4 linked regions of the Alligator mississippiensis genome follow. The protein of the gene in region 1 interacts with the protein of each later gene in a pairwise test. Links are inferred from orthologs where the notes say so. Each region holds a gene or a part of one and is shown on either strand. Other genes may lie near its edges. The genes, in order: RASSF5, UBQLN1, SMAD4 and BTRC.

Region 1 (7,860 bases):
TCAGGAGGAAAAAAAAACAACCTGATTAGACTCCCATGAAACCTCCTTTTCCAAACTGCAGCAGATGGGTAATAAAATGGACCTACGTTTTAGCTCAGAAGAAACGTTCCCATTTCATTCGCTGCTTCAGCTAAAAAGGTGCCTTATCTCTGCTTCTTTCGTTAGAGCTGGGAAATGCATCCGTAAGCAATTCAGCACACAGAGCAACCTGCAGAGTGAATTTAAAGAACAGAAACTCTTTCCCCTCATCAATATTGAGTGTACAGCGAATCTAGATCCACATGTGGAGCCCGAGCACACACTGTGCTGCAGCGTTGGCATAACCTCTGAAGCACGCGTCCCCTGCCAGACACATTTTACGATGAGAAGCCCTTAATTATATGCAAGCACATCAGGATTAGATGCGCTTTACGATGTTCGACATGCTGCACAAGGCAGGCTCGGAAAGTGAACAGCTAACCATGAACACAGAGGGGACAGAGAGAAGTCGCCGTGCAAATGGGGAGCTGTTGAGAAATAAAATACAGATCCAGTCCAGCTCAAGTCATCAGTCCTGTCTTTGGGGAGGAACAATTTAATTACTGACTTCTCTACTCTTGTAACCATTAGTACAGTAGTCACATGGAAGTTGCAATCAGAAACAGTCATTTCCAGCTGCTTCAACAAGTAGACGCAGGGTGAAGGTTAAAACACCAGTGAAAACCAAGGTCTATTTATCAGCCGCACACAAAGGGAAAGAATGAGCAGTTTGGCAGCAGCACGGCTCACAAGAAAATGCAACTCTATCCACCATTAAGTTTTCATACCTACAAAAATCAGCCATGCATGTTCCCATCTGCGCTTCTAGCGTACCACCACGATCGTTAAGTTCAATCAAATCCCCCCCACGTGTAACATTTCCAAGATTTCCTTGAGACTACGGAGAGAAAAAAAACCCCTCCCGATATGACAGGGATATGCTGGCAGTAACACGTGCACCATGCAGGGGCACTACTCTTCTAGGGGCCAGCAAGTGCAGCTATCGGGATGGCTTGGTAAAGAGCACAATACACTGGGACCCAGGAAGAAGAAGTCTGTTCCCAGCTCTGCTACCGGTCTGCTGACCTTGGGCATGTTGCTTCATCGCCTCGTGCCTCAGTTTCCCCACCTGTATAAAGGGCATAACAACACTGACCTCCTGCACGAAGATTTCCCATAAAGTCTTTGACAGATAGTGGGTAAAGTTACTGCTCATTCCCACCAGGACCCCCATGGCTTTGTTCCTCACTTCTGCTTGCCGTGCTTCACAACACCGACTGTTATGACATGTCACCAGCCCTCCCAGAATCGCCATTTTTCTTTTCTCCAGCCAAAACGCCAGATGGTACCTTAATACGGTAGTGACCAAAACGACCCCTGCAAGCTCATTGCTGCCACAGATTCGCAGAGCGTGACGAGCATCTTTGCTGCCAGGCTCGGCGAAGGGACCCGACTAATTGTTCTCCAAATGCCCTTCGCAGCCACACGACTAAACGGATACTGCCACGCTGGATCCCACCCCACACCCCTTCAAATGACATCCCGCATCCACCTAGTCGGTGCAAAAAAACCCTGGCGGCTGCTCCAGAAGCTAAACCTGCAAAACATCCCGAGTGCCAGGTGAGGACACGGCGGGGGCACAGGGAGGAGCCAGGCGCGCTCCTGGACCGCGCTGTGTAGCTGGGGACGGCGGAGTCAGCCGCCAGGGGAAAAATCCCAGACAGGCGGAGGTAGTCTGCTCCTGGCTGGGGAAACTCCTGCAGGCAGGGACGCGAGCCAGGGGCCGCCTTCCCTCCAGTCAGTCCCCGGCTCCTGGGGCGTGCAGCTGGGGACGGTCTGAGCAGCACTGAGGGAAAACCAAAAGGTCAATCAGACGGAGGGCATCTAGCCCTCGCTGGGGCAGCTCCTGCAGGCAGGGGCTAGCTTCCCCTCCAGTCAGTCCCCAGCTCCTGGGGCGTGCAGCTGGGGACGGTCTGAGCAGCACTGAGGGAAAACCAAAAGGTCAATCAGACGGAGGGCATCTAGCCCTCGCTGGGGCAGCTCCTGTTGGCAGGGGTTAGCTTTCCCCTCCAGTCAATCACTGGCTGACGGGGGCATGCAGCTGGGGACGGTCTGAGGCAGCACTGAGGGAAAACCAAACCGCAGTGAGGCAGAGGGCATCTATCTACCCCTTGCTGGGACAACTCCTGCAAGCAAGGAGGCAGGACAGGGGCAGGCTTCCCCTCTAGTCAGTCCCTGGCTCCCACCCGCACCGTGCACAGCTGGGGAGAGAGGTCAGGCAAGGAGGAAAGAAGAAGCCCAGTCTAGGCGGAGGGGGTCTATTCCTGGCTGGGGCAGCTCCCGGGACACGCAGCCGGGGACGGTCTGAGGCAGCGCAGGGGGGAAAAACCCAACCCGCAATGAGGCAGAGCTGCGGGACAGGACAGGGCAGGGGCTCCCCCCGCCCCGTGCACAGGGCAGGCGAGGAGGAGAAAGGAAACCCAGTCAGGGGGAGTCCGCCCCTGTGCAGGCAGGGCTCCCCACGCAACCCCGGCTGGGCAGGGAGGCAGGGAGGGCGGGAGCAGGCAGGGTGAGGAGGGAGGCGGGCAGGTGGGGAGCGAGGCACTCACTGGCGCAGCGCAGGGCCGGGGGCCGCACGGCGCCGCCGCACAGGTCGCACCATGCGAGGCGGGGCGCGGCGGGCTGGAAGCGGTGTCCGTGGCCGCGCTCGGGCGGGACGCGCGGGTCCCGCGGCTGCTGGAAGATGGTGCGCACGTCGGGCAGCAGGCGCGGGGCGGCCCGGCGCAGGCGCTGGGGCAGGGCCGGGGGCTTCCCCGCATCGCCGTCCTCCTCGTCCCCGTCCCCGTCCCCGTCCCCCGGCAGCAGCGGCGGCGGCGGCAGGCGGCGGGCGCGCGGGGGCTCGCGCTTGGCGCGGCGCCGCTTCCTCGCCTCGGGCTCCGCGTCCAGGCGCAGCGCGCGGGGCAGCTGCCCCACCAGCGCCATGCAGCACCGCGCACCGCACCGCACCGCACCGCACGAGCGGGAGGAGCTGGAGCTGGAGCCGGAGCCGCGGCCGGGGGAGGAGACGCGCCGGGCGCCCGCCCCTGGAGAGCCAAGGCTGGGCAGGGCTCGGCTCGGCCTCCTCTCCTTCCCCCCCCAGAGGCTGCGCTGCTGGCCGTGCCCGCCCCCGCACCGGCCGGGCGCCCCGCACCTGTTGGCGCAGAGGCTCCTGCCCCGACCCGGCTCAGGGGCGCACAGACACAGGCCGCGGGCCCTGGGGCAGCTCCGGGTGCCAGCTCAGTGCGGGCTCGGGCCGAGTGTAGGGGCTGATCCTGCCTCATTGCTTCCAGCCCAACTCCTCGAGGAAAGGGGAGGGAGGTCTCCCCCGTGTCTCCATCCCCGGGCAAACCCAGGATTGCGAGAAGGGGGTGCCTACGCTGAGGGGCATCGTCCCCTCCAACACCGCCCCTATTTTTCTCGAGGTCAGAAGAAGCTGGGTGCTAGGCCGGGCGATTCGGTTTCAGACGGATGCCAGGACAGAAGTGTACCGGAGGGTTGTTCTGCCGTGAGCGGAGGGTTTTCTTTTCTCAGCAGGAAGGGGTTGATGTCGCTTTTGATGTCCAGGCTGCTGGTTGCGAGCCATCTTCCAGGTCCTGAAGGCAACGCAGAAAGCACAGCTTGGATCCATGTTCAACCATGAAAGCTCAGAAGGGTTTATTATCCTTGGACAGCGCTCAGTGGGTCTAATTAGCAATCGGTTCAACTTGGTGGAGCTTGCCCTTGACAGGAGACTCTCCCCTCCGTCTCCTTGCCGGACATGTCTCCCAACTCCTTCCTGCATTTATACTTGCGTGTGCGTGTCCCTTCCCCGTTTCATACCTACTCTTCTCTCTCTCTCTCTCCAAGATGTTCATTTTAGTTTTGCTGGCTAAGTTCACGCACTTGCACTCTCATTAGTAACTGCAGCAGTTGCAGCTGGTATTTTCATTCTCCCTTCCGTGTCTTTTTGCTCGCTAGTGCGAGTTTTATTTCTTTCCTTTCTTGCAAGGTCATCCAGCGGCCAGGAGGCTTCTTTCTCCCATACCGCTTTTCAACACCATAGTGTAGCATAACTACGGGCCCAACACAACTGCAATTCCTACGGGAACGCGTTAGGACCGGTCCGCAGGCTGCAAAAGAGGAGCTACCCTGGCAGGAGCAGCTCACAAACCGCAGCCTTGCCGAAGAAAAGCTCGCTGCGTTCGTGCAACAACCAGAGCCTTAGAAAGGAGAGCAGGTCGTGAACACCCATGGAACAAAGTTGAGACGTCATCGGGTAATCTGAATGAAGTCCATTGGCTCCCTCACTGCTGCTTGACTAGAAATGCTGCTGCCTCTGCCAGGCAATTGGTTTTAAACTTTGGGTAGAGCAGGATCAAAAGGGTGCAAGTGCACCACAGCATCCTCCCTGCCTTAGTCCCTTCTGAAAATACGGCTTGGCACCAGCTGTGTAAAGGGAGGTAGGGGGGTTTCCAGCACACCCGAATGCCTTTGGGAATCTCGCCTTAGGGGCGCTTTGGAAATCTTAACCTGCTGCCTAAATATTCAACGGTTCCACCCAAGCTGGTGAAGACCGGCTGCCTGTAATAGGAATTGGCTTAGTAACAAACCACTTTCCCCAAAGCCATGGCAGAGGCCAAAGGACTGTTTGAAAGGAAGCTTTGGGTGTCTGCGTCAGACTGATCACAACAGTCAGTCCTGCCCTTCCTTGGGAAGTAAGTTATGCGGTTCTGTATCTTAAGTGTGTTTGGTCACAGAGCAATTGCTGCAGGTTCAGCACTGCACGCCAGGTGGAGGGTTTGTTCCCGCACACTCAGCCCTCTCTCAGCATCCCTGAGTCTACGCCCCTGTGCCAAGTTCCTCCAGGTACAGACTGACGTTGAGCTCTGTGTCCACTGTCAAGAGGACTGGGGTCTGCTCCATGGCACGTGCTCCACGATACTATAGAAAGCAATGACCCACTTAAACACTTTTCCTTCCTTTTCTTGCAAGTAAGATTTGGAGACTGTGAAAACAAAGATATTTTCACGGCTGCCCAACCACTTCAAACTTTGGAGAGTCTAAATTCTTATTCCCGGCACTTAGGGGCTGGGGATCCACAGGTCACGGGCATCACCACATCTCGCTGAACTTATTGGGAACTGCACATTTGCAAACTTAGTGGCTAGGGAAAACCAAACTACCAAACCCCTTATAAAGCTGCCTGCCTCCAACGTCTGAAAGTTTCACTGCTGCCTTTTACTTTCATGTGGCACATGGTGGGAGGCAAGTGAAAACAAACTCTCTCATTTCCCATTGCTGTCTTCCAGGCGCTAGCACTTGCTAGTATTTGCCAACAGTGCCAGATTATGTTTATTTTATTTTTTAAAAGCTTCCATTTGAATTTTAAAATATCCCCACAGCCGTTCTATTGGGTGCAGACTTACAATCACAAAGCCAAAAAGAAAGGCCAAGCCTCACCCGGCTCTTTTTAAAACAACTATGAGTGTTAGAGGTGGGTGAACAAGAACCGCGGAGAGGACCGTCTGCCCTGTCTGCTCCAACTCCTGAGCCTTTGGGGTCATTGCAGTTTTCTCCAAGTCTTGTTTCTAACCGGGCTGAGTCTAGCTGGAAGGCACAAACTTTCCCCAGTTATAAACTCTGACCTCAAGCGTAGGGACAAACTGATCCTAGGTGCCTCCATTTCCATATACAATAAATGCAATATTACCAATTCCTGCTCCCTTATTTGGAGACCTAGCACTTCTGAACGCCTCTACCCCATTGCCTGGAGTCAGGTGATGGCATGAGCATTTCAGCCTTCACAACGGGGAATAACCCCACCTTCCTATCTCCTGGTGCCTGGAGGCATTAGGCAATCAGCGCAGAGGGCAAGCCTCTGAGTCGGAGGTACCAGAGAAGTGCTTGGCATTAAGAAAGGGGTTCCTACTGCATTTTACCTGGACACTGGGTGCAAACAACTGAGCAAAAGTTTCCTATAGGAAATTCCAATAGACTGCTCCAGCTGCTCTCTAGCCTTTTCTGCTTGGAAAACCAGCAGTCACGGTACCTGGCACCCTCAGAAGACAGCAACCCGTTCTCTGCTTCAACACACCCGCTTTGTCTGTGCACAAGGCTTGTACTTGCTTTAAACTAGGCTGCCATAGCTCAGATGGATCCGCTCCAATAGTGTGGATGCCGTTACAGAGGTAGAAGTGCATTTATATGACTGTAACCTTATTTCCCATAGAGGACGGGGAATACATTTTATTGCTATACAGCGCCTTTATACCAATATCCCCGCAGTTGGAGTTCTACTGGTGTAACTACACAGGGACAAATTCACGCTCCCAACCAAAATAGCTCTGCTGCTACATAGTCGGAGGGTTGACTAGGCCCCAAAAGCTAGCTGGAACTAATTAAATTTTCCCACTCCAATTATACTAGCACTGTAGAGCTACACAGAGGGATCACGTGAAGTGGGCAACCTGGAATATTTTCTTCTCACAAACGTGGCTTGCCTTCTAAGGAAGCGGAACACCTCAAGGAGGTACAGGTCTAACCACCTGATATGCATACCTCAAACAAGCCTTTTGGGAAATCAAAAATCTGAGTAGCAAAAGGATTCTGCCAGCTCAGACGTCCCTGCAATCTCTGCTTTGGAAAACTCATTTTTATATGCCTTTTGCACTGAGAGGAGAGATTATAAAAAGGCAGCACAAAGGGCAACAGCGGTCTTAAAACACAGCTCTATATTCTTTGCAGACCTGAAACTATAAAGCCTTTGAGCGTCAGGCTGCTGCATGCCCGAGAAGCCTAGGCTCGTTTATAAATCAGGAGAGAAAGGCACAAAGTAGTAGTGATCCGGCCAAGATCAGATGAAGAGTAGGAACAGAAAAACAGCCAACTTCCACTCCTGAATCCAACCGAGAGAGGATTCTTCCTTCCCTAAACTAGGATTCCTGATGCACAGAGCAGTTCTTTGTCCGTAACACTATCTATAGCGCTGGACCCCATTACCGCAGTACCCGAACGCTTCACAATCTTTCATGTGCACCGGGCACTGCTATTACTCCACTGGGTAGATTGGGAACTGAGGCACAGAAAAGTTAAGTGACCGGCCCAAGGTCACATACGACACCTGTACTAAAGCAGGGAGATGAATTTGGGTCACAGACTAGCACTCCCAACCACTGGATCAGCTTTTCTCATATGTGCACTAGCATAAAACTGGTGCAACTTCACTGACTTCAGCAGAAATGCTCCTAGTTTAAGTCAGAGGAAAATCATGCAAAGAGACGATTGCTTTCATCTCTTACACTGGAGAGTAAGTTTGATTTCTCCGTATCTCTGTCTCCCATTGTGGAGTTTGGCATGAACTGGCGAGACTGCAGTTAAATGCTGGATCCATGTTAAAAGCCCATAGTGCCATAATCTGTTAACAGCAAGAGGTATAAATTAAATGAGATATTCAGTGCCACTCTGACCTGCACAATTCTAGTCTCATCACATCAGTAGCAAAGGCCCCCTCTCCCCACTGCTCAGGATCCTGGCTCATCTACATAAACACAGCCTTTCAGACCTTTGCACAACTGAAGGCTGCGTGTTTGACTGAACTGATGTGTAACAAGGCCGTGCCAACCTCCACATATAGGAAAGAGGGCAAACAGAAGAACCGAGAGACAAAGGCATATCATGTCGGGGAACCAGCATGAAAGATTCGGCTTGAATGTTCAGCGGGATTTTTTTTTAAAAAATAAAGATAAAAATAAATGTACCTGGCTCCCTGGAAAAGTCAATCCAAAAGTTTTGCTTCGTACGATGTTAGGTTGCGATCGCTCCTGG
Region 2 (6,939 bases), on another chromosome or scaffold:
GAGAGATGGACTGCAGCAGATTCTAATTTTTTCTGTGCCTTCTCACTGAGGCAGGGCACCCCCACAGGTGGCAGAAGGTCAGGGATTCAGCCCCCGCCAAATGCGGGGCAGCAGGTAAAGCCGCAGGGCTGCCTGGCCGCAGGCTTCAGGTGGCTGCAGTAGGGGTGGGGAGGGGCATGCACACAGCCAGGATTGCAGCCTGGCATATGAATCCCTGGCTGCCCAGCATAGCAGGCAGGCCGACTCATCTTATCCAATAGAACCTGCAGCTGCAGGGGGCCCCGCAGCCAGCCCCTGCCCCTGACACTGCCGTTGGCTTCTTCAGCTGCTTGCCACCAGCTCTCTTCCCCCCCCCCCCACCATGCTACTGCCAGCTTCTTTGCATCAGGGGGCCCCAAAACATTGTGGGCCAGCCCTGAGAACAGGCAAATATCATCAGTCTATTCTGTTAGGAGGAAGGGGCATGGGGAGGCAGATCGAGGTTCCCATGGTAAGGGAGAGAGTGGGGCAGAGGCAGGGGCATGGGCTGTGGTAAATGGGGCCCTGGCCAGGCTGGGTGTTGGGACAATCGGAGCTTGGGAAGCTTGTCCGGGCGGGGGGGCAGCTTCTGCTGCTGTGTGCACCCTGACTGAGGCCTGGGGGGGGAGGGGCACATGTCCCCCCAACCTACAGGTGAGGCAGAGGTGGCTGTCGTTGTGTGCTCAGGCTCTGGGCCCCACTACAGCTGCCCCAGGAGTGGTAGGACGCTACGCGCCTGCCGCTGCTGGGCTGCACCGTGCCCCCAGCTCGCCCAGTGGCAGGACACGCGTGCTGCCCCTGGAGCAGCTGTAGCAGGGCCCAGAGCTGTCTCTGTCTCGTGAACAGATGGGGGGGGGCACATGCCCCCCAGGCCTCTGCCAGGGTGCACACAGCAGCAGGAGCCCCCCCTGCACCCCTGGATGAAACGCCTGGGCTCTGATTGTCCCACAGGGCCCCATTCACCGCAGTCCCTACCCCTGCCTCTGCCCCATTCCCTCCCTCACCGCAGGGACCTCAATCTGCATCTTCCCCCCCCTCCCCCCCGCCCTTCCTGCACACTTGCCTGCTGGGTGCAGGGGTGTGGTGCACAGATGCACTCAGCCCTCCCAATAATTTTTTCTCCTTCCATTTATGGGAGCCCCACTAGCAGTTCACAACCTGTATAATTTAATGCTGGCAATGTGCTGGGGTGGTGGAGGTAATAAGATAAGATTGACTTCAATTTGAGCAGTACCGACACCTGGGCCTAATTTCAGAGTGATAAAATTCTTCCACAGTTCTTTACTTGTGTATAGTTTGGTCATCCATTGAGTTCATTTGTCAGTTGCCAGTAGTTACTTCCATCTGAATTTGGTATCTCCATGAGACAGCTTACATTTGAATGCCTTGCACTGCAGGTGCTTATCCCCAGGAAACACCTGTGCCAGGAATGCTCTGGCATGTGGCAGGTTACTTTGGGTGGGGTAGGAGAGGCTGGGGCCAGCATAATTGCTGGCCCCAGATGCCTTACCTGGGGTTCTGGGGGATATAGGGAACAGCAGCTGTGGCACTCCTGCAGCTGGAAACCTAGCTGGCAGCCCAAGTGTGGCACTGGCCAGCCAGGTTCCAATTGTGGGCAGCATGCGCTGCGGCCATGTGCAACACACTGCTTTTTTTGGTGTGGGTTATTTTGACCCTAGGCTCCCCTGGGGTCAACCCCCCCCCTCCTCCCTGCACTGCAAAGTAGCAGCATGGGGAATGCCTACATGTGCAGTGTGTGGCACCGGAGATGGGTCTTAGGTGCCATGTACCACATGTCCATGCTTGTCTGGACGCACCCATGGAATAATGGCTGGTTGAAATAGGTGTTACACAGTGCAGGAATCAGCTTGTGGTGAGGAACGGATGCTTTCAGGGCATTGTAGTGTTCTTGACACAGCAATGGAAGCAGGAGTCAGTGTTTTTTTAGGTTGTGTTGCAAGGACTGGGTGCAGTGTGATCTAGGCTAGGGACAGACATTCAAAAAGCCAGAGCCTGAATTGATTCAATATTTGCAGGTTAGTCTAACCAATGTAGATTGAACTGATTTGCAAGTGACCAGAGGTTCAGTTTTGATTCTGGAAATGCAGGCACATGCCTGTGATGGCTCAGGCTAGAAGCCAGAGATCTTCCTTTCAGGCTAGGGGGAAGCTGAACTGAGACAGGTGTGGCCAGGCCTCAGCAGACTGAGTTCGTTGGACAGGGGTTTAAACCCCCAGCCTGGCCTGCAGGGACCCCAGCCAGGGTCTACCCCTCTTGTTCCCTTCTGCTCATGGCTCAGCATGGCCTGGAACCCCCAAAGCCCTTGTCCCAGCTAGCAGGTGATCCCACTGCACCTTCCCAGCTGCTGGTGCCTAATTTTACTTGGGGCAGCCCAGAAGCAAAGGCCTAATTGTGGGGAGAGAGGGACCTAGGAGCAAAGTTCCATAAAGGAAAGCTCCTGTCCAGTGGCCCCTTCTACCCACTGGAGCGCAGCGCCTGAGACGGCCACAGTCTTTGCTATGCTGTGCATGGCAGGAGCTCACCTGCTGAGCCCCAGCACTATGACCTGTGTCCCCTGGGCACCAAACTGGGCGCACTGTGCTCACTGTTCCCTTATCCAGTGGTGGCACAGCACAGCCCCGTGTACCAGGCTCCAGGTTCCCTGTGGCTTCCCTGCTGCCGCCATCACTGTTGGGTGCCTGCCCTGGCCGTACAGGTAGGTGCCAACACCACTGCCGAACTGCGGTCAGCTACCAGGTGTGCAGACAACAGCTGGGAAGCCCTGGGGTAGGGCCCTGCCCCTAGTGCACAGGGCTGTGCTGCATCTACAGCTTCCCCGCTGCTGCCTGGGGTGTGGCCAGACGCAAACCTAGCATGGTCTCCTAAGGCCAAGTGGGCAGGGAGGAAGTTTATTCCCCACTCCATCCCCTCTCCCACCAAGAGACTGCAGCATGGCCCAACCCAGCTACTGCCTCTGCTGCTTGCACCTGGCCAGGCAGACCCCAGCTGTGGTCCCCTGGTGGGTGGGGGAAATAAACCTCCTCCCTGCCCCCTTTGCCTCAGGGGGCCATGGCAGGCTGGCATCTGGCCATAGCCCCACCCCTACTCCAGCTAGAGAGCAGAAGGGCAGGGCCAGCCCTGCTCTCTGGAGCACAGCGCATAGTACAGCACCACCCAGGGCTGCAGAGCATGCTGGGAGGCTGGTTTAACTTAACCCAGGAAGGGGTCTGGGACAGAAATTCTATAAACTAGTTTGACCTAAATCAGTTCAGGCTGATACTACATTCAACCAGGTTTCTCTCAAACTGGTTTCAGCCATTTTGAAACTGGTCTGTGTGCACTGAACTTCTGTTCTGTTATAGGTTTAAACCAGCTTCTGATCACTTCAACCCGTTTATGTGTAACTTCTGTCCCTTGCCTTGTGGGGTGATCAGCACCAGCAAGCATATTCTCAAAACGAGGGTAAAGCAACTGAGTGGGTGGGGGGTGTTGTATTAGTAGTGTGCTGTTCCTGAATTGATATTGTAGCCCGTCCTCACTTTTGGGGGGAGGGGGCAAGCTGCGCTGAGCCTTAACCCCCCGCCTGAGCCCGTGCTCAGGTCACGCGCAGCTGGAAGAGCAAGCTACACGACCGGCGGCCGAACCCAACCAGCCACAGCGCATGCGCGTCAGGACTGCTACGCACCCTTTACCCTAGTGTTACATGCGCACGCGCAGCGAGTGACCCGGCAGTAGCCGGAAGTACCCCCCTCTTCACAGCCCGGAACACCACCCCGTTTCGGTCCCACGCATGCGCACTGCCCGCCCGGCCCTACCGCGCACGCACAATGCAGAGTCACTTTGCTGCGCATGCGCAGCGTGGCTGAGCCGCGTCTCCAACGCCAAGCCGGGAGACACCCCCTTCTAGTAACTTCCCCGCGGGGCGACGTCATCACCGCGCGCCACGCTCCGCCGGGCTGTTTCCGTTGAACCCTCCGGCCGCGAGGGCTTCCGGCGGCGCGGCGCGAGGGAGCGTGTCCCGAGCCGGGTTCCCCGCCGCCATGGCAGACAGTGGAGAGGGGCCCCCCGCGGCCCGCAGCCCCCCGGGCTCCCCCGCCGCCGAGCCGCGAATCATTAAAGTCACCGTGAAGACGCCCAAAGAGAAGGAGGAGTTCGCCGTGTCCGAGACCAGCAGCGTCCGGCAGGTGAGGAGGGAGCGGGGGAGAGGGCGCCCCTTCTCGTCCAGGGCCGCGGGGCGTCTCCCCGTCGCCTCGGAGCTCCCAGCGGCTTCGGGGCGGGCGGAGCGCGCGGCCTTCCCCCCCCCCCCCGCTTCCGGGCGCCGCCGGCCTGTGCGGGGCCGGCTGGGGTGAGTGGCACCCGCTGAATCATCCCCCACACACCCCCCTTGGGGACCTGACCTGTCCACCCCAGTCCGGACCCAGTGCGAGTCCATGAGATGGTAGAAAAGGAGGGTCTGTGGAGGTCTAGTCTAGCTCCTTGCTCTGAGCAGGGCGTTCCCATCTGTGTGGCGCCAGCCAGGGCTTTGTGTTAAAGGTCTCCAGGGATGGCAACTCCACAAATTCTTTAGGCAGCCTGTGCCACTGCTTTGCTGTCCTCCGGGGCAGATCAGGCTGGCAGTGGTGGGAAAAGAGCAGGGAACTAGCGAAAGAGGTGGGTTTAGGGCCAGAGCTGTCTGGCTGAACACCGCCGCCCCCCTCTCCCCCCCCAAAAAAAAAAAAAAATAGGGCTCCAAGGCCAAGGACAGCCTGCTCTGGTCTTGCACCTGTGTTGAAATGCATTCAAGTTTTTCAGCCTAGCTGGAAGCGTTCCTGTTGAAGTCATAGCTCCCTTTTCTGTGGCCTAATGAGCTGTATTCTTCCCACGTGGTACTGCTGCCTGTTTCTCCATAGCATCTGACATAGCAGGCTGTATGTAGCCTTTGGCTTGTGCCTGTGAGTTAGTCTGTAAGGGGCCACCCTGCCCAGCCTGCTGCCTGTGTACATGGCCAGTGTCTACATGCAGAGACTGACGTGCCAGCTGCCTGGTAGCTAAAGAACAAAGCCACCTTTTAGGACAAGGCTGCCAAAACAAGATGGGGGTTCCAGTAGCAAGATGCAGGGCCAGCCCCCTGGCTAGACTTTCCCTCTTGCTAGCTGTCAGGAAGGGGGAGGATGCTGGAATTTCTTCCAGGGTATCGTCCCTGAGCCCTTTTGGGATTCAGTCTCTTATCTCAGCTTTTGGCTTAAACATGTCTGAAATTGTAAAATTCACTGTTTTACTGCTGAGCAGGGGAAACATCTCTAGGCTCCACCATGCTACCATGGAGCTGTGGCAGGGTTGGGTGTTCTCTGTTAGTTTGTTGCAAGCATGTTTTCTGGCTTTTCTCCCCAGTATAAAACTCAAGCACATCTGCCTTTGCTGCTGCTCACTGCCATTCCAAGAAACAGCAGTGTAAAATGGACATTGTTCTTTGCATTTCCTCGCTGCTCACAGAGACCTGAGTAGTATCCCTGAAACTGACTGGTTTTATTTCTGCTGTTTTTGTCAAACCTGTACAGCATCACATCTGATCTGTTTAGAGATGGTTGGGGAATATAGATGCACATTTCACAAAAACTGATGGATGTTCCTCCTTAATTTAAAGCTCCTTACTGGGTAAAAATGACACTATGCAATTAAGTATAAGCTGATGACCTAAAAGCCTTTTAAGAAATAATTTAAAAAATGTCCCTGTGGTCTTGCAGGCACTAGATTAGGGTTTGCTCAAACAGCTTTCCAGTTGCAAATGGATACACTGACATTTGTATTTATAACTAACTGGGAAGAGAAATGCACTTAGATGTGACTTTTGCCATTAATAGTTCCAAAGACATTTAAGCTAGACATTTAATTTTGAATTGCATTTCTTAAATGTGAAGCTTTAAAACAGGTGAAGTGTTTCCTCTGACAGCTGTCTAAAAATTGAAATTGCTAGGCTTTTTTTTTTTTTTTTTTAAACAGAGACATGAGATGCTTTCACAAAGCGATTTACAGAATATTTGTGTGCCCACTTAAAATGCAGATACGATAAGCAAGGTGGTTAAAATAAGCTTACCCTGTTGAGGAGACCTTGAGTTAAATCATGGCTCTGTTGAAGTCTGTGGAAAAAACTCCCACTGATTGTAATGAAGCCAAGAAGACTTCACCTCTGACTTCCAGCCCTCATACTTCTGATTCCTATACAAAAATGGAGGCAACTTCTAACCCCTACAGGGATTTAAGGCCTGCAGTTCCTGTATCTTAGGTATTAGTAGCTACGCCTACACTATGAAACTGACCTATTGTTAACAGTATCAACAATGGTTTCATTTGCATAAGCAGTGAAAATTTCAATGTACAGACAGAACCAAATAAATTTTGAGCATCAAATCGTCTGTATCTGTTGTGAACAGTGGCTTATTTGACTAATGCAAGCAAGTTATTGGCATTATCCTCTTCCAAAAATGGATAACGGTCCTGAACTTATTTAGTAGCTTATAGGTATGTCTGGAGTGCCTGTGTAGTCCTATGCAAGTTGAGGTCATACGTGGTACCTCTTTGAACCAGAAAGGGTAAATTTCTTATCTAGCTGCCAGGTGCAGTGTAGGCTCTAGTACATAAGCTTGTTCTTTCATAGGTGTTTCTGCATGGTACTCCATTGTCATGTAGACGTACCTAAATAGCTTTTCAAATCACCTTGTAATGAAGGAAATGGTTAGTAATTTGAGACATTGATTGTCCCTTTAAATAGAGTTCACTGGGTTGTTTGCTTTAGAGTAGAGCAGTTGGAATCCAAGTAAATGCTTTGGCTCCTTAGAAAAGCCTGTACAATGCTGAGTCTGTTTTGTGCTGCTTGATTGATGTGTAAAGTGTTACTGTCACTGTGGTAGAATTTTCAAATAATGTCCAAGTCGGATTGTCATT
Region 3 (7,638 bases), on another chromosome or scaffold:
AATAATCAAGTTATGTTTCCTGGACCTCTCGGACCTTGGATGGAGACAAATGCAACATTTCCTCTGGATTTCCAGCAACCAGCACGCTGCAGGAGTGTGCATGGGAAATGCAGAGGATCGGGGTGTGCATCTGGAAGCCTGGCCACCTCCTGCAACTAGGCCCACCTACTTGTTAAGGTGCAGAGCCCAGAACTGGATGCAGTACTTCAGCTGCAATCTCGCCAGTGCTGAGTGGAGCAAGAGAATCACTTCTTTGCAATGGTTTTGCTGGAGATGCATCAATTGATGCATGCCAGTGTATGGTTGGCCCTGCTGGCTACAGCATCGCATTGCTGGCTCATGTTCGTACAGTGGTCAGTTATTACCCTCAGGTCTTGGTGACAAGTTATGGGGGATTTTCAGTCCTCCTGCCTGATGAGAGGCAGCAGTTGCACAAGCACCCATGTCATGAGTTTTGCCTGTGAGCAGCTAGGGGTGCAGGGCCCCAGAACCACCCCGCACCAGCCTCCTTGACAGCTGGCAGGCTTTGTGGCTGCAGCAGGACCTAGCAGCCAGGCCTGCAGTAGTTTCCCCCCACCTCTGCCCCAAGACAGACAGCTGCATAAACACCCCTGGCACGAGTTTTGCCTGCCTGTGGCCAGAGGTGCAGGGCCCCAAAACCCAGAACCCCTGCACCTACCTCCTTGATAGCTGGCAGGCTCTGTGGACTCAGCCGGGGCTACCATCCCTGCAGTTTTGACCCCACTGTGGCTTAACACATACACGTGACATGAGTTTTACTTTCAGGATTTGGGGGTGCAGTTTCTCCGAGCCCCCTGTACCTATCTCCTTGAAACGTGGCATGCATCATGGCCTCAGAAGGGGCTACCATCCCTGTAAGTTTAATTCAAATCTGGCCAGAAATGACAAAGTTATAGCCTGTTTTGACTTTTCCCATTATATCCTATGGGCGAAACATCAAAACAGGGTCGAAACGGCAAAATGTTTCGACAGAACGAAACAGAACAGCCGTTTCGACTCGAAACAAAAGTTGAAACAAAACACTGTTCTGTTGAAGCGCTGATCGAACAGAATGCTGCCGTTTCGCACAGCCCTACCGTTTATGGGGAATTCATAATCCAAAACCCCGCCTGGACTTAACTGCCTAAAGGGATGGTCTTATTGAATCACAACTGGGGAAACAAAGGGGATGACCCACCACAACAACTGACACCAGTGAAGGCACCATTTAGTATTTTAGCTGGGGAGTCATACTAAAGCTAAGGTAAAAGAGTTTGATGCCTTTACCTCAATTTTAGGAGCTGCTTAGCTTGATTAATTAATTGTGACTGCAGTGGGGCTTTCTTTGGGCTAGGCTAATTGCATTAAGCAACTGTCAACAACATTTATTTTCCCCAAATCAGACAAAGTAGAATAATGCATAGATAGACTGAGGTATGGTTTAAAATGAGTACTGTATATTGTAAAAATCTATACAAACAACTTTTAAAACCCAGCCTTGAAAGGCTTATATATAAAAGTTGTCCAACTATGGTCAGTGGGATAATTTATCTAAAGGGGGTGTTGGCAAGAATCGCTATTGAGGAATACATGAGTTTGCTGTATCTCCCCCCCCATCTCCATCCCCTTTATCCTGGTGTAATAAGTGCACACAGTGAGCTCTTACGAAATATCCTGGCCAAGTTCTCCATCTTGACAAACCTTAAACATTTCAGAATCAACCCTAAAAGTGAGAGTTTTTTTGCTAGAAGAAATTTAAAATGTTTAATTTAAGACAGTCCAGATGGAAAAGGAGGGATTTTTTTCAGTGAATGGTGGCTAACACTATTTTTGTGAACTTCAGCATCATTAAACTAATACTCAGTATAGGAAATTCATTTTGGACCTTATCATCATGGTCATTTTTTTTAAGGAACTGTGTTAGTTGAGCACCTTGCATCTTAAAATCAAGGTTCAAAGCAAGACCTTGTGTGGCTTGGTGTGGAGAGGTGGAGCAGACACAGCGCTCTGTTCGCCCTGCCAGAAGACTCCTTTGGTCCAACCCAGGGCTCCACAGAGAGGACAGAGGATGTGCTCTTGAGCTAAGATTACTGAACAAATGCACTGATAACCCCAGGCAGCATCAGTCTCCTGCAGCATGGCAGTAGACACCCAGGGCCCTAGAGAAAAACAATTTGTGAGGAAGAAGCAAAATCATTGCCAAGGACAGTTCCTATTATCCACTGCTGCAGCCACTGCTATTTCTGTCTGAAATCTAACTGGTAGGGTGCATGCATGTGTGTAAACTCAATAGCTGAAGTGGAAAAATGAAGTCTCAGCTATCTGTTTCTTCATATCCTTTTCTTCACACCAACTTCAACCCAGCTAGAGCCTGCTAGGAAGGAAAAGGACACACCTGTTCCTGGGAGCCCGAGCTTCCGCCAGCTGGCCTGGCAGAGGATGCCCTTTCCCGCATACTAGCCCTTCCCGTCCTATATGGCAAGACTTATGCTGGGGTTTCCCTAACCCGTGTCTCTCCAGTTTATCTAGCAGGCAGGAAGCCATGCACTCGGTCCTACTCATGTAACCTGCCCCTACGTCTCCCGGTCAGAAAGGCCCCAGATGTCTTAATGGGGCTTGAGGGGAAATGCAGAATAATAGCGCTACTCTGCTGCAATGCATCAAAGGCAGAGATAGGGGTTTTGTCTGACTCCCACCGTTCCCTAGAGATGTTTGTGCTCGGGATGTACTCTTCTTCGTGACTGAAAAATTTGTTTGATGGAGGTTGGTTGGGCCCGGGGGAAAAGCAACGTCAGGCTGTGGATGGGGGCACTGAGGAGAGGAAGGGGCACCAAGGTTGAGAAGGTTGAGAGGCGACCTTGTGGCTGCCTATTAGTTCATCACGGGGGCACAGAAGGGAATTGGTGAGTATTTATTCACCAAGGAGCCCCCGGGGGTTACAAGAAATAATGGCCACAAGCTAGAAGAGAGCAGATTTAGATTGGACATTAGGAAGAACTTCTTCACAGTTCGAGTGGCCAAGGTCTGGAACGGGCTCCCAAGGGAGGTGGTGCTCTCCCCTACCCTGGGGGTCTTCAAGAGGAGGTTAGATGGGCATCTAGCTGGGGTCATCTAGACCCAGCACTCTTTCCTGCCTATGCAGGGGGTCGGACTCGATGATCTATTGAGGTCCCTTCCGACCCTAACATCTATGAATCTATGAATCTAAGGTGCAAAGCTGGAGGAGACACTGGGGCTTTCCAATCTCCAGGAGTCGCCTGGTGTGACTTTTGCTGCTGAGGCCTGGCCACACAGCGGAGCAGGAATGAGACCCAGCCACTGGGCACCATGAGGAACTCTCTGCTGGCTTTTGCCCACCTTGCAGGATGCAGCCGGCCCAGCTGGCAGGAGGCCAGCCTGCCTCTGTGCACCTGTCTGCAGGCTTGGCTTCTCACCCAGGGATGTAATAAACCCAGGAGTCCTCCCTTTCTGCAGCGTCCTGCCCCAGTTTCATTATTATTTGTCCCAAGGAATCAATTGCCACCTTTCCTGCAGTCTCCCCACCTGAGGAATGCCAATAAGAAACTTGGTGGTAGGGTTGCCAACTCTCTTTGAACCTATTCCGGGAGGTTTCGTCACATTGTGAAGTCATTAATGTCATCATTGCATATCAGGAAGGCAAATGCAACATTACTATTACATTTTAAAAACCTACTGGACTACTATATAAATCAGATTCAACATTTAATATTTGTTTTAATGAATGCCCTAGCTTTTATCAGCAGTCTCCTGGAGATTTCTTTCTAATTCCTGGAGACTCCAGGGCAATCCTGGAGGGTTGGCAACTTTACTTGGTGGGCCTCGTGACAAACTTTCCGCAGCACCCCCAAAGCGTACGGACAAACTTTCCGCAGCATCCCCCAAAGCGTACAGACAAACTTTCCGCAGCACCCCCAAGCGTACGGACAAACTTTCCACAGCACCCCCAAGCGTACGGACAAACTTTCCGCAGCACCCCTCAAAGCGTACGGACAAACTTTCCGCAGCACCCCCAAAGCGTACGGACAAACTTTCCGCAGCACCCCCAAAGCGTACGGACAAACTTTCCGCAGCACCCCCAAGCGTACGGACAAACTTTCCGCAGCACCCCCCAAAGCGTACGGACAAACTTTCCGCAGCACCCCCAAGCGTACGGACAAACTTTCCACAGCACCCCCAAAGCGTACGGACAAACTTTCCGCAGCATCCCCAAAGCGTACGGACAAACTTTCCGCAGCACCCCCAAGCGTACGGACAAACTTTCCGCAGCACCCCCAAAGCATCAGGGCTCCCTGCCCTTGCCCACCCTTCCCTACCCTTCCCTCTAACCAGAGCAGGCAAAGAAGAACACTGCGCTAGGGAGGGCCCCGCACCCTGAAACATAAAACGCCGCCCTTCCAAACTGGAAAAACACCCCAACCAACCAACCACCCCAGCGCCTCGCAACCATAGAGACGTCTCGCCCCTGCGCAGGCGCAGTCCGCCCCTCAGGGATGGGGGGGCGGCGGCGGCGGCGGCGGCGGCCGCGGCCGCGCGAGGGACCCGGATGTGGCGCATGCGCGGGGCGGCGGCGCTGGACGTGTCGGCGGCGGAGCGGCGGCGGCAGCGGCGGTAACAACAACAACCGGCGGCGGCGGCGGATCCAACCTCCTCCCTCCCCGCGGCCCGGCGCGCCCGCCCGCCCCGAGCCTGGGCCGGGCCCTGCCGCAGGGGAGGCGGCGCCGGGCGGGCGGGCGGGGAGCGGGGGGCCCGAGGCCCAGGTAACCCCCCTGCCCCCCACATCCGCACTAACGGGCCCTCTGACGTCACGGCGAAGTGATTCGTGACGTCACGAAGGAGTCATTTCTATTGGGGGGGGTTTCTCCCCTTCTTGGCCCTCGCTGGGGAAACAAGACCATTTGGGGGGGATTTTTTTTGTGGGGGGGGGGGAGAGGATGTTTTTGGGCAGAGAGCCCCAGTCCGACGCCCTGCGGGCGCTGCGGGGCCTTTCCCACCCGCCGCGTCCCGGAGCCGGGGCTGGGATGTTTCCATGCTTGGTCTCAGCCCGGAGGGGAAAGGTTTTTGTTTTCCTTCCTTCCTTCCTTTCTTTTCTTTCTTTCTTTCTTTCTTTCTCTCTTTTGTTTTGTTTTTTCTTAAATCGCAAACACGGCGCACTTCTCCCTTTGCAGATTTCAATCAGGAGCAGATGTGAGCTAGTGCACCCCGCGCAGACGTATCCAGGCTGTATTGGCCGGGCACAGTGTTGTGTTTTTAAAATTTTTTACTATTCCTTTTGTGACTTGGTTTAGCTGTAGTTATTTCCTCTGTTCCTGAGATTTTTTTTCTGCTGAACTTGAAGGTTTTTTCCCCTGAAAGTTGGATCTTGTCATGTGTTTTGAAGCAGTCTAGTGAAAGCCCGTAGGGTCAGGGGCTCTCTGTGAAACTGTCTTGGGTCTTGCTGCTTTCGTTTGATGTTTGTCGGTGTAAGTGTCTGTCCCGAAGGGGTATTGCAGTGGGTCACGGGGGGAGGGGGAACCTTTCGGGTCTCTGTTAAGGCCACAGCATTTAGATCAGGATCTTTAACGTGGAGTCATAGTTGAATGGTGAACCAAGAGCATGGGCAGCTCCTTCCTCTAAGTGCTGGTCATCCTCCGTCTCAGTAAAACGTGATGTAAATGGATTTGGTAAAAGAAAAAAAAAGCTTATTGTTTGAGCCAGCGCAGGCTAAAAAATGGTTAAGTGAACGTGCGATCTTACCCATCAGCTCTCTTCATTTTATATCTTCTGAGTTAGTGTAATTGCTAACTTCAGTGACAAAGTAAGGGGGAGGGGTGTGTGTATGTGCGTGTGTAAGCATGTATATGTGTGTGTGTGTATGTATATAAATATCTATCTCTCTCTCTAAATAAAAATACTACCATAATCCTTGCACGTGTTCAATTAGAAATATTTGTTTTGTTGAATTTACACGGCCTGTCTGTTGCACTTGAAAATGCTGTTGAAAATAGTAGGAGTGCGCAGGTGGAAGCTGAGGAAAAACAGTCGAATACTTCACCGTAGGCAGCTAAATCTTAAGATTTCTTCGTTTCACAAGAAAAAGTGGTCTTTGCCATTTGTGAAATATAGTCTTAGTCTCAATTCAAATAAGCTTAATTATTGCTGCTGCTTTTTTTTGCTTGAGATAGCTGATATTGCCCGTGACGCTTTTCTAAATTGCTGTGGTTGATTTTGTATTAGCGTGCCAAAACTTAGTGTGCCAAAATTATTCTTTCGGTGTGACTTGTTAGTTTTCTGTGTTGTAGTATGACTTCTGCTCTGTCCCAGTTTCAGAACTGAGACTATGTAACTATTCAAATTCAAGAAAAGTGCTAATGTTTAAAGAATGTTATGGCTAGTTTGCCTTTAGTTCTTGTCATACAGATCCGTGCCAGGCTAGTCCTGCACTAGTACTCCTCATTTTTGCTATTTAGTGCTGATTGTGCCTGTGTGTGTGGTTCTTATTCCCTCTTCAGGTTAAAAAAAAGAAAGTTTTTGGCTGGAAAACTCAACAAATTGCTCATACCTGCATCAATTTGTGAAATGTTTTGTTGCATGTTTGTGAGCCTGTTTTTTTAAGTTTGCTAGTGAAAACTCAAGTTGTAGTAGCACAGTTAGACAGTGGTGAGATATCCCTTGAAGTCAGCTGCCTGGGGTGTTAAAGACTTTGTCAAACATTGATGTATGTTGTCACATACTTGCTTAATAGTTTAAGTGTGGTTGTAAATGCAGTTGGTCACTTTACCTGCCTCTTGTTTTTGCTGTTTAAAGGTATCTAGAAGTTTGTCACATTCTGCATTACCATAGGAAGGGAGCTCGGAGGTAAACTGATCTAGCTCCCTGCTCAAGGAAGGATAATTCCTGACTGAGCCTTCCCAGTCAAGTAACAGGGTAACTTGTGTAATGAACCATTTTTTTTTCATTATTCAGACTGTATGAATGGTGGCTACTGTCACTTGGTAAATCTAGTGCATTCTAGATTTTCTTTCTTAGACTACATATGCCCTTGACAGGGGCCTGGTGGAGCCCCAACCCATCATGTTTTAAAGAAAAACATAGCTTTTGTAAAGCTTCAACAATAAGAAATCTTCTACTCCAAAGGCATAAGAAACACTTCAGGAAGTAGAGGACCTGATTCTTGTTGAAATCTGTTACAGAATAAGCCAGATCAAGACAGACAAACCTGCAGGTCCAAAGTTGTGCACAACATACTTCCCCACTGCTGTACAGATTGTGACTGAAGTGTTTCTTCCTGATTCTGTGGAGCCGAAATATCTGGTCCCTCTCTGAGCCAGGTGGGCAGCCAGTGGGACTTGCTAGTCAGCTGAGGGCCCACCTGGCTGGAGTAGAGGCAGGCAGTTTGGCTTCAACAGGACTTCAGCTGACTTAAGTGCTGCTAGCTTAGCCCTGAGCTTCCTTGCCTTTCTTTTCAAGCTGGACGAGCCCTCGGCTAATTTTTTTTAAGATACTGTTAGCTATCCACCATAGTTGATGAGGGTCCAGGCAGTTTGGCACCAGTAGGATCAGGCCCTCAACTGGTAAAGCACTACTGGCTGAGCCCAATTCCCAACCCCTCTTGCCTTATTTGGGGGTGGTATGTGAGAA
Region 4 (7,529 bases), on another chromosome or scaffold:
GCAGTGGGGACACGGCCTCGGCCTGGGGCATCTATTAACAACCTTTTATAGGAGCAGGATGCTGGTGGCCACAGTCCCCTTGCTTTCCACGTGGCAGGTTCAGGTGTGATGCCTGGTGCTGTGTCAGGGCTGGCAATAGTTTTATGTAGAGTTTAGATGATGGGTTTTTCTGGGCTGGTTTGCACAGGGCTGATCCTGCCTCAAGCAGGGGTTGGACTCGATCTGACCTCCGCAGGTCCTCTCCAGCCCTGCGGCTACAGGATTTCGAGGATGATTCTAGCAATCACGGGCAGCCAGGCTCTCGGTGACTCTCAGCCACATCACTTGTACCTACATTTGTTTCAAATTTGCCCTGCACTCATGTCCAGCCTCTTTGCGGTGTGAGCAGGCAGGGCAAAAAGGGATCGGTTCCTTCTCACCCCCCGACCCTCCATAGTTCTGGATCTCCATTTCGTGCACTGAGATCACTGCCTCTCGCCCAGTCGGGGTGGAGTTTGGATGCACAACACATTTACCTGCCTTTGGGCAAGATAAAGGGGCTCATGGGTACAAGACAAGCTGCTAACCTGGGGTAAGGGTCTCGAATCAGGTGTAGAGCTGCCCAGGGAAAAGTCAGCCGTCATGATACCCCGGTGTAAGTTGTACCGATGAAGTGCCGCATGTCCACAGCGATCCAGGGATATCCACGTGATGGAGCCTGTCACAGAGTCCCCTCCAAGGGGTAACTGCAGTCTTTGCAAGTGCACCTCAAAGCCAGCCCTGCTGTGTCTCCTAGAGCAAGTGGAGGAGCCCGGGCTCCTTCTGAAACCCTGGCCTTTTGGTCTCTCGTCTTTCCTGGTTTTCCTTGGAGCTGCATCCAGTTGTGCCCCGGGAGAGGCGCTTTACCCTCTCTTGCTGCGGAGAACAAGGGCTGCCCCAAGTCCCAAGCAGCAAACAGGCAGCTCTTGCTTTCAAAAGCTTGTTCATTTTATCCCAGCTCTCTCCCACAAAAATGCACACCTGCTTCAATTAGGGCCGAAGTCACGCAGCCAGAGGGTGTCTGCCCCCTCTTCGAAGGCTTACGCCATTCCTCTGTCCCCCGTCCAGTCTGCACAGCCCAGCTAACCATGAAGATCGCTCCACTATTCTCTTTCCAGGCCCAGAGCCCCCGAAGATCCTCTCCTGGTCTCCGATCCAGCCTCTCAGGCCAGGAGCTGACACCTTGTTCCCATTCTCCACCCCTTCCTATGCTGGTCTCGTCCACCTTCCCTCCAGCCCCCTGGCCATCTCACCTTTGCTGATCTGTCAACAAAGCTACTGAGGGCTGTGGCTGGCAGAGGTCCATCTGTCATCTCCTGCTTCCTTGTCTCTTTAGCCCATTCCTTCCCCATGTACGAGCTTGGTGGGGAAAATGAGGCACGCAACATCATTCATAACACCATAACGCAGAAAGATCCCAATAAAATCCGCAAGCCGTCACAGAGCCTCCCACATGTTACACCTGTACCTGAGCACTTGGCCTCGCCTTTTCCTTGTGCTCTCCCTTAGCTGTATTCACCTGTTGTCTCTTGCCTTGGACTGTAAGGTCCTTGGGGCAGGGCATGTCCTCTTGTGGGTTTGCTCAGTGCCAAGCAGAATGCAATCCTGGTCCCTTCCTAGGGTGCCCAGCCCCTGTAGGGATACACGTAACAGCCACTTTAATAACCCCGGTCTCCCTTTCAGGCCGAATAAAAGAGCTACCCCCTGGCAGCATGTGAGGTCAGGCACAATTTAAGCTTTGTAATTCCTTTCACTGGTCTGTGCTTGTTATAATCAGAAGAAGTTCAGCTCAGAGAAGTCACCGATAGATAAAGCAGCCTTAAGGGCTTTGGGGTAGCAGTGCGGGCTCCCGCAGCAGTACACTTTTCAATTTCCCTACAATTAAGCCGGCCTCAAATGTTATTGACAAATAAAGCACAAAAGCAAAACCACTGAACCTTTCCCGCTGCTACAGAAAGGTTCCACTTACCTCCCTGCCAGCTGCCGCACGCCTGGAGGGCTGAGACTTAGAGCCGTCAGAGCCCAAACTCTAGGGACTCCCAGCCTCTTGCAGCAGTGGAGAGTGGCTCCATTCTAATTACACTACTCCCTCATCCTAATTACTGTTATTTAGGTAATGCCGAAAGTGTAGGCAGTCTTGTCAACAGCCTGGGAAATACCCAGCGCGGTGACACGTCAGGCATGACAACCTGCTTTAAGCATCACCATCCAGCCTGCAAGACCGGGGGAGGGAAGGGACGGGCTGGCTGGCACGCAAGGTGTGACTGGCCTTTCGGAGCTGAAGGGAAGGCAGGAAGGAGAATGAAATGATCCAGGGGTGAGAGCACAGAGATGTGCAAGGGGACCTAGGGCAGAGGGGAAGCAGAGAGATAGAAGCAGAGGAAGAGTTGTGCTGACATGGAGCAACAGCCAGGGTTTCAATGTGACTTTTAGTTTGCAACGAATCCATGGACGCAATGCTTTCATTCCCAGCAAGCCAAACTAAACTACATTGAGGAGTTTTACTTTAATGCACAAGAAAGACTTTTAAAGCGTTGGGAAATCCCGCGCGTGCAAACAGACATGCAGTTGCTGCACATGAAAGGGCAAAAATTGTGGCATGTATAAGTCCCATATCTGTAGCTTCATCCATTTTACTGGGTATTTAGCACCACTGGTCCCCAACTGCAGGCACATTTGAGGTGGTATTACACCATCAGAGTTTGGGGGCAGGGGTTCTCATGGTGTGTACAGAGTCTAGCCCAGTCAGGTTCTGGCCCCTGAGTAACACATACTCACAAGGGTCTGCTAACACCCCCTCCCCATGTTCTGTGCAAACAAGACCTGATTTCCCAGTGAAGTCCGGTCCTTATTTAAATAATTAACAAGCGATTTCTCTTTGTTGATGAAGGGTGCTGGGGCACTTCAGGGTTAAGGCAAACTGAGTATGTGAATTCAGGAAGGGGGCTTCCCACAGCCTGCAGTTCTGGCCATGTCTCCCATGCCTCCTTCCTGATCTGCTTATGGGGGTTAGGGGGTTGGAAATGGATCTGGGGCTGGGACACATGGCTTGTGAGGAGAAGCTGAGGGAATTGGGATTATTTAGTCTGGAGAAGGGAAGATTGAAGGGGGATTGAATAGCAGCCTTCACCTCCCTGCAGGGGGGCTGCACAGAGGATGGAGCTGGGCTGGTCTCAGTGGGGGCAGATACAGGACAAGGAGCAATGGGCTCAAGCTGCAGCAAGGGAAGTTGAGGTTGGATATTAGGAAAATCTTTCTCAGAAAGAGGGTGGTGAAGCACTGGAACAGGTTACCCAGAGCGGTGGTGAAGTCTCCATCCTTGGAGGTGTTGAAGACCCGGCTAGACAAAGCCTTGTCTGGGATGATGTAGTTGGGGCTGGTCCTGCTTGGAGCAGGGGTTGGACTAGATGTGACCTCCCGAGGTCCCTTCTAGCTCTCACTGTCTGTGAGTCTATGAATATGTCAAGTGTATTCTTTCCTCAGTAATCCTCATGGTTTCCTTACTAATTTATAGGATTTTTATTTTAAATGGAAAGAATTGCAATGAACTCTTTAAACATAAACTGGCTGCTTTTCGTAGCTCACAAAAAGGCGACATTTGTAGTATACCTCAATTTTTTTATTTTTTTTTTTTTACAGCCAGCTCTTTTAGCTGCACTTGTTCTCGTGGCTTTTGTGTAAATATGTTTGCTGTGCTTGACATAAGACACTTGTAAAGGTTAAACTCGATCTGTTTGGCTAGGTGCAAAATGCTTATTTTTATCAAGGCCACGGATTTTTCAGGTTTTGTGCCCTAAGAAATATTTTTAAAATGAATATATATAAACATATTAATATATACAAATTAATATGTGCATATATATCTATTGACTCAGGGTTATCTATCTATGGGTGATAGAGTTATATCTAGATAGTTATATAGAGAGAGATATCTATCTATCTATCTATCTATCTATCTATCTATCTATCCTATACCCATAGATAGATAGATAGATAGATAGATAGATAGATAGATAGATAGATAGATAGATAGATATGGGAGATATCTATCTATCTCCCATATTTCTCTCTCTCTCTCTCTCTCTCTCTCTCTCTCTCTATATATATAATCGATATATGTCCCATATCTATATCAATATCAATATCAATATCTATCCCTTATATATATCTATATCTGTATCTCTAGCTGTATCTCTATCTCTTATATAAATGGGCTTCATGTAGCATTTGGCAGAATTAAACGCGAGCCCCGGGATGAGGAGCTGAGCCCTCTCCCCCTGCCCTTGCCTGTCCATCAGGCCCCTCAGAGCCCTTGCCAACTACAATTCCCGGGAGCCTCCGCGGGTTTCCCGACTGCGCATGAGCCCCGCGGCGGGGAGCCGGGCCGCGGCCGCGAGGGCTGTTGGGGGTTGTAGTCCCCTTCCCTCCCCGGGCCCTCGCCGCCGCCGCGGCCGGGGACTCCATGTCCCGGGGGCCTGCGCGCGGCGCATGCGCGCGGGGCGGGGGGGGCGGAAGAGAAGCGCAGGTTTCTGCCTGCGCTGGCTCCGGCCTGGCGCTGAGGGAGGGGGCGGCCCCGGCCCGGCCCGGCCCCGCGGCGGGACTATGGACCCGGCGGAGGCCGTGCTGCAGGAGAAGGCCCTCAAGTTCATGGTGAGGGGCGGGGAAGGGCTAAGAGCTCCCTGCGGGGCTGATGGGGGTGCCCCCCCCGGGCCTGCAGTGGGGTGGGGGCCCTAGGGGCAGGGAGTGGGGGAGGGGCGTGATGGGGTGCCCCACCCCCCGCAAGGCCTGAGGCAAGGGCCTGGAAGGGGCGTCTGGGGGGTCATGGGGTGCCCCCTACCAAGGCCTGAGGCAGGGGCAGTTGTGCGGGGTCCTCAGCGCAGTGGGGGTGGGGAAGGGGCATTATGGGGGTGCCTCCCTGCAGGGGGGGGGGGTTAAGGCAAGGGTATGGGTGGGCAATGGGGTGGGGGAGGGGCATTATATAGGGGTCCCCCCAAAAAAAGGGTGGGCAGTGTGTGTCCCCCCCCCAACAGGGCTGTGGGGGGTGGAGGAGGGGCATTTGGGGGTTCCCCCCCCAAGGGCTGATGCAGGAGTCTGGGAGGGTCTTCAGGGCAGTGGGGGAGGGGCCTGGGGGGTCCTCATGGTAATGCATGGGTGGGGGGAGGGGCATTATGGGGGTGCCCCCAGCATGGGCTGGGGGGGTACAAAGCAATGGGGGGGGGCTGCTGAGGCTAGGAGCTGGATGGGGGGTGTGGGGGGGTAGCTGGCTGGGGGGCTCTGGGGTGGGGATCCCCTCCATTGGTAGGATTTGGGGGCCACGAGCCTGCGGAAGAGGGACACGGTGCCCGGGGAGGGGGCACGCGCCGGGCAGAGACGTGTCGCGGGCACTCCAGCCTGCCCGGGCACCAGGGCCTGTGGGGGAGGCCGGTCCTGCCCCTGCCCCTGCTCTGCGGGGGGGTCCCGTGGGTGCGACCCCCCCGTCACAGCCCGTCTCCATCGCTTTTCCTCCCCACCCCCTTCTACCACCGGCTGGGGGCCGGCCTCTCTCGCTCTTTCCGCCCACCATATTTTCCTTTTCCTCGCTGCTTTTCAAAGAACGAGCCTGCCCGTTATCTTGGATCCTGAGCCAGACACTAGTTTTTGGGGGCGTCTGCCTCCGAGTCTGGTTTGTGTAGATTAGTGGTTTAGAGACACTGGTTTCAACTCTCGTTTCATTCGTCTTGACCACAGGTTTAATTCCAGATTGGGGGGTTTTTTGTGGTTGGTTTGGGCTGGAAAACAGTCGCATCAAGACATTTGCACAAACATCCACGCCACGTTAACTGACCGTTCATTTCAGGTGGGCTCAAGTCTTCTGCCTCCGAGGATGTCAGTCAGTTGACAGGCAGCGTTTGCTCCAAGTTTGTTCTGGATTAGTCCTTTCAGTGGCACAGATTTAAATCTCTTCCTCGGGAGCAAAAAAAAAAAAAGGGGAAAAAAAATCAGTTTAAACCCTCAGAATTTATGCCCCAGGTGGAACTAGCGAAACACTTGGTACAAATCTTGGTTTTCATTTGCACTTCAAAAGCGGTAGAAATTCTCAGCGTATAATGACCTCCATTTATTTTCTTGTACAATTGATAGCCCCTTGAAGCCTTCTCTCCTCCTGTTCAGACCATTGGACTCTTCTCTCAGCGCCCTTTATTTTTGTTAGATTTACAGGCTTTCAGGTGGTAGAGGTGGGAAACGTATGCGGTGCCTGAGTAGCTTTGGGAGTCAAAATTGCCTCCTTTCATCTATAATCGATCAGAAGTTTGCAAGAGATCCCGTTGCGTGTGGATCTGGCCAGGTTGGTCCACTCATTCGTGACTTAGGTTGGATCTGTCCAACTCGTTAGATCTCAGGTGTAACAAAGCCTCGCACCCTGGAAAGGGCCCAGCTGATAAGGCGTCCTGCTTCCTGGTATTGTAAACGCATCACACGGGTGCTCTGCGCTGGTCCCCATGGAATAAAGATTCCAGTCTGAGCTCTTCGTCCAGACATTCAGAGCCCTCCTTGAGATTGGCTTGTGCTCCCTGAGGCCCATCGGGCCTCCTGCCCTCCATCTGTGCCCCACAGACTGCAGAGAAACCAGAATTAAGTTGCTGGATTCGCTTTGAGTGTTAAGAGTGGCCAAGACACCCCGTGTACTGAGAAGTAAATGTCAAACGTGTCTCTTCTGAGTGCAGCTGTCACGCAGTAAGTTCTTCACATGCATACCTGCAGCCCACGTAGACAAGCACCCAAGCAAGAAAAAACTGTGGACAGCTCACATGTTGTCTTCTGCTAATTGGCAGAGGATGGAGCAGTACTTTTCTTTTTAATGCATTGTTGGCTTTTTCTCCCCAGCACTGAACTTGATAGGATCTGAGTGTCTCCCCAGTAATTAGACAGGCAAAGCTGAGCTTCACGGCGTCTTTTGCTTTTCTCCCTTCCATGGTTAGAGAGGTTCTGCATCAGTTAGGATGGGGTGGACGAGAGAAAGTTTTCTTAACCTGAACCAGGTTGTGGGGGGGAAATCCACTGGGTGTTGTCTTGATATTTAAATAGTTGGAGTTGCTTAGATGCCATAGTGAGGAGAGCCACGTAAGTACAGGCGTAGATCTGGAAAAGACGGATTAGATGCGTTTCAGTCCATGCTGACTCATCCACAGTACATTTTCCTGTCAGTCCAAGTGGATGACAAATTTGGCATACCTTGATTCTTACTAAGTGGGTCAAAGCATGGCTCACTTCAGTCCAATCTATTCATTATTGATTTGCACAGCATCTTTTCACAAGTGTCAAGGTGCCTTCCTTATTTAAATATTGAAACACTCTTTGAAAAGACCAGACTCATTATTTCTCCGGGCCCCAGTACAATATTTACAATTTGGCTCCGGATTCACACAACAAACAATAAGGGCTGGAAGCAGCCTTGTAGGTGGTGATATTTTTGTTCTTGTCTGTATGATTATTTTTCATTTAAAAAATGCTTGCCTGGTCCCTGGCAATGA

What was found.
Region 2: the proteins of RASSF5 (region 1) and UBQLN1 interact in a two-hybrid assay, tested with the Homo sapiens proteins (3 studies listed by BioGRID and IntAct). The link is inferred for Alligator mississippiensis from reciprocal best matches to the Homo sapiens genes RASSF5 and UBQLN1.
Region 3: the proteins of RASSF5 (region 1) and SMAD4 interact in binary tests that used the Homo sapiens proteins (3 or more experiments, as listed by UniProt). The link is inferred for Alligator mississippiensis from reciprocal best matches to the Homo sapiens genes RASSF5 and SMAD4.
Region 4: the proteins of RASSF5 (region 1) and BTRC interact in binary tests that used the Homo sapiens proteins (3 or more experiments, as listed by UniProt). The two-hybrid records come from large-scale screens. The link is inferred for Alligator mississippiensis from reciprocal best matches to the Homo sapiens genes RASSF5 and BTRC.

The regions. Positions count from the first base shown.
Region 1 is NC_081837.1:41,643,357-41,651,216, reverse strand, and holds the start of RASSF5 (ras association domain-containing protein 5), read right to left. Parts: upstream 3,016-7,860; 5' UTR 3,001-3,015; coding exon 2,628-3,000; intron 1-2,627. UniProt on the Homo sapiens protein: Potential tumor suppressor. Seems to be involved in lymphocyte adhesion by linking RAP1A activation upon T-cell receptor or chemokine stimulation to integrin activation.
Region 2 is NC_081826.1:202,971,531-202,978,469, reverse strand, and holds the start of UBQLN1 (ubiquilin-1), read left to right. Parts: upstream 1-3,922; 5' UTR 3,923-4,058; coding exon 4,059-4,202; intron 4,203-6,939. UniProt on the Homo sapiens protein: Plays an important role in the regulation of different protein degradation mechanisms and pathways including ubiquitin-proteasome system (UPS), autophagy and endoplasmic reticulum-associated protein degradation (ERAD) pathway.
Region 3 is NC_081826.1:287,955,738-287,963,375, reverse strand, and holds the start of SMAD4 (mothers against decapentaplegic homolog 4), read left to right. Parts: upstream 1-4,635; 5' UTR 4,636-4,778; intron 4,779-7,638. UniProt on the Homo sapiens protein: In muscle physiology, plays a central role in the balance between atrophy and hypertrophy. When recruited by MSTN, promotes atrophy response via phosphorylated SMAD2/4.
Region 4 is NC_081829.1:99,941,447-99,948,975, forward strand, and holds the start of BTRC (F-box/WD repeat-containing protein 1A), read left to right. Parts: upstream 1-4,526; 5' UTR 4,527-4,620; coding exon 4,621-4,668; intron 4,669-7,529. UniProt on the Homo sapiens protein: Substrate recognition component of a SCF (SKP1-CUL1-F-box protein) E3 ubiquitin-protein ligase complex which mediates the ubiquitination and subsequent proteasomal degradation of target proteins. Recognizes and binds to phosphorylated target proteins.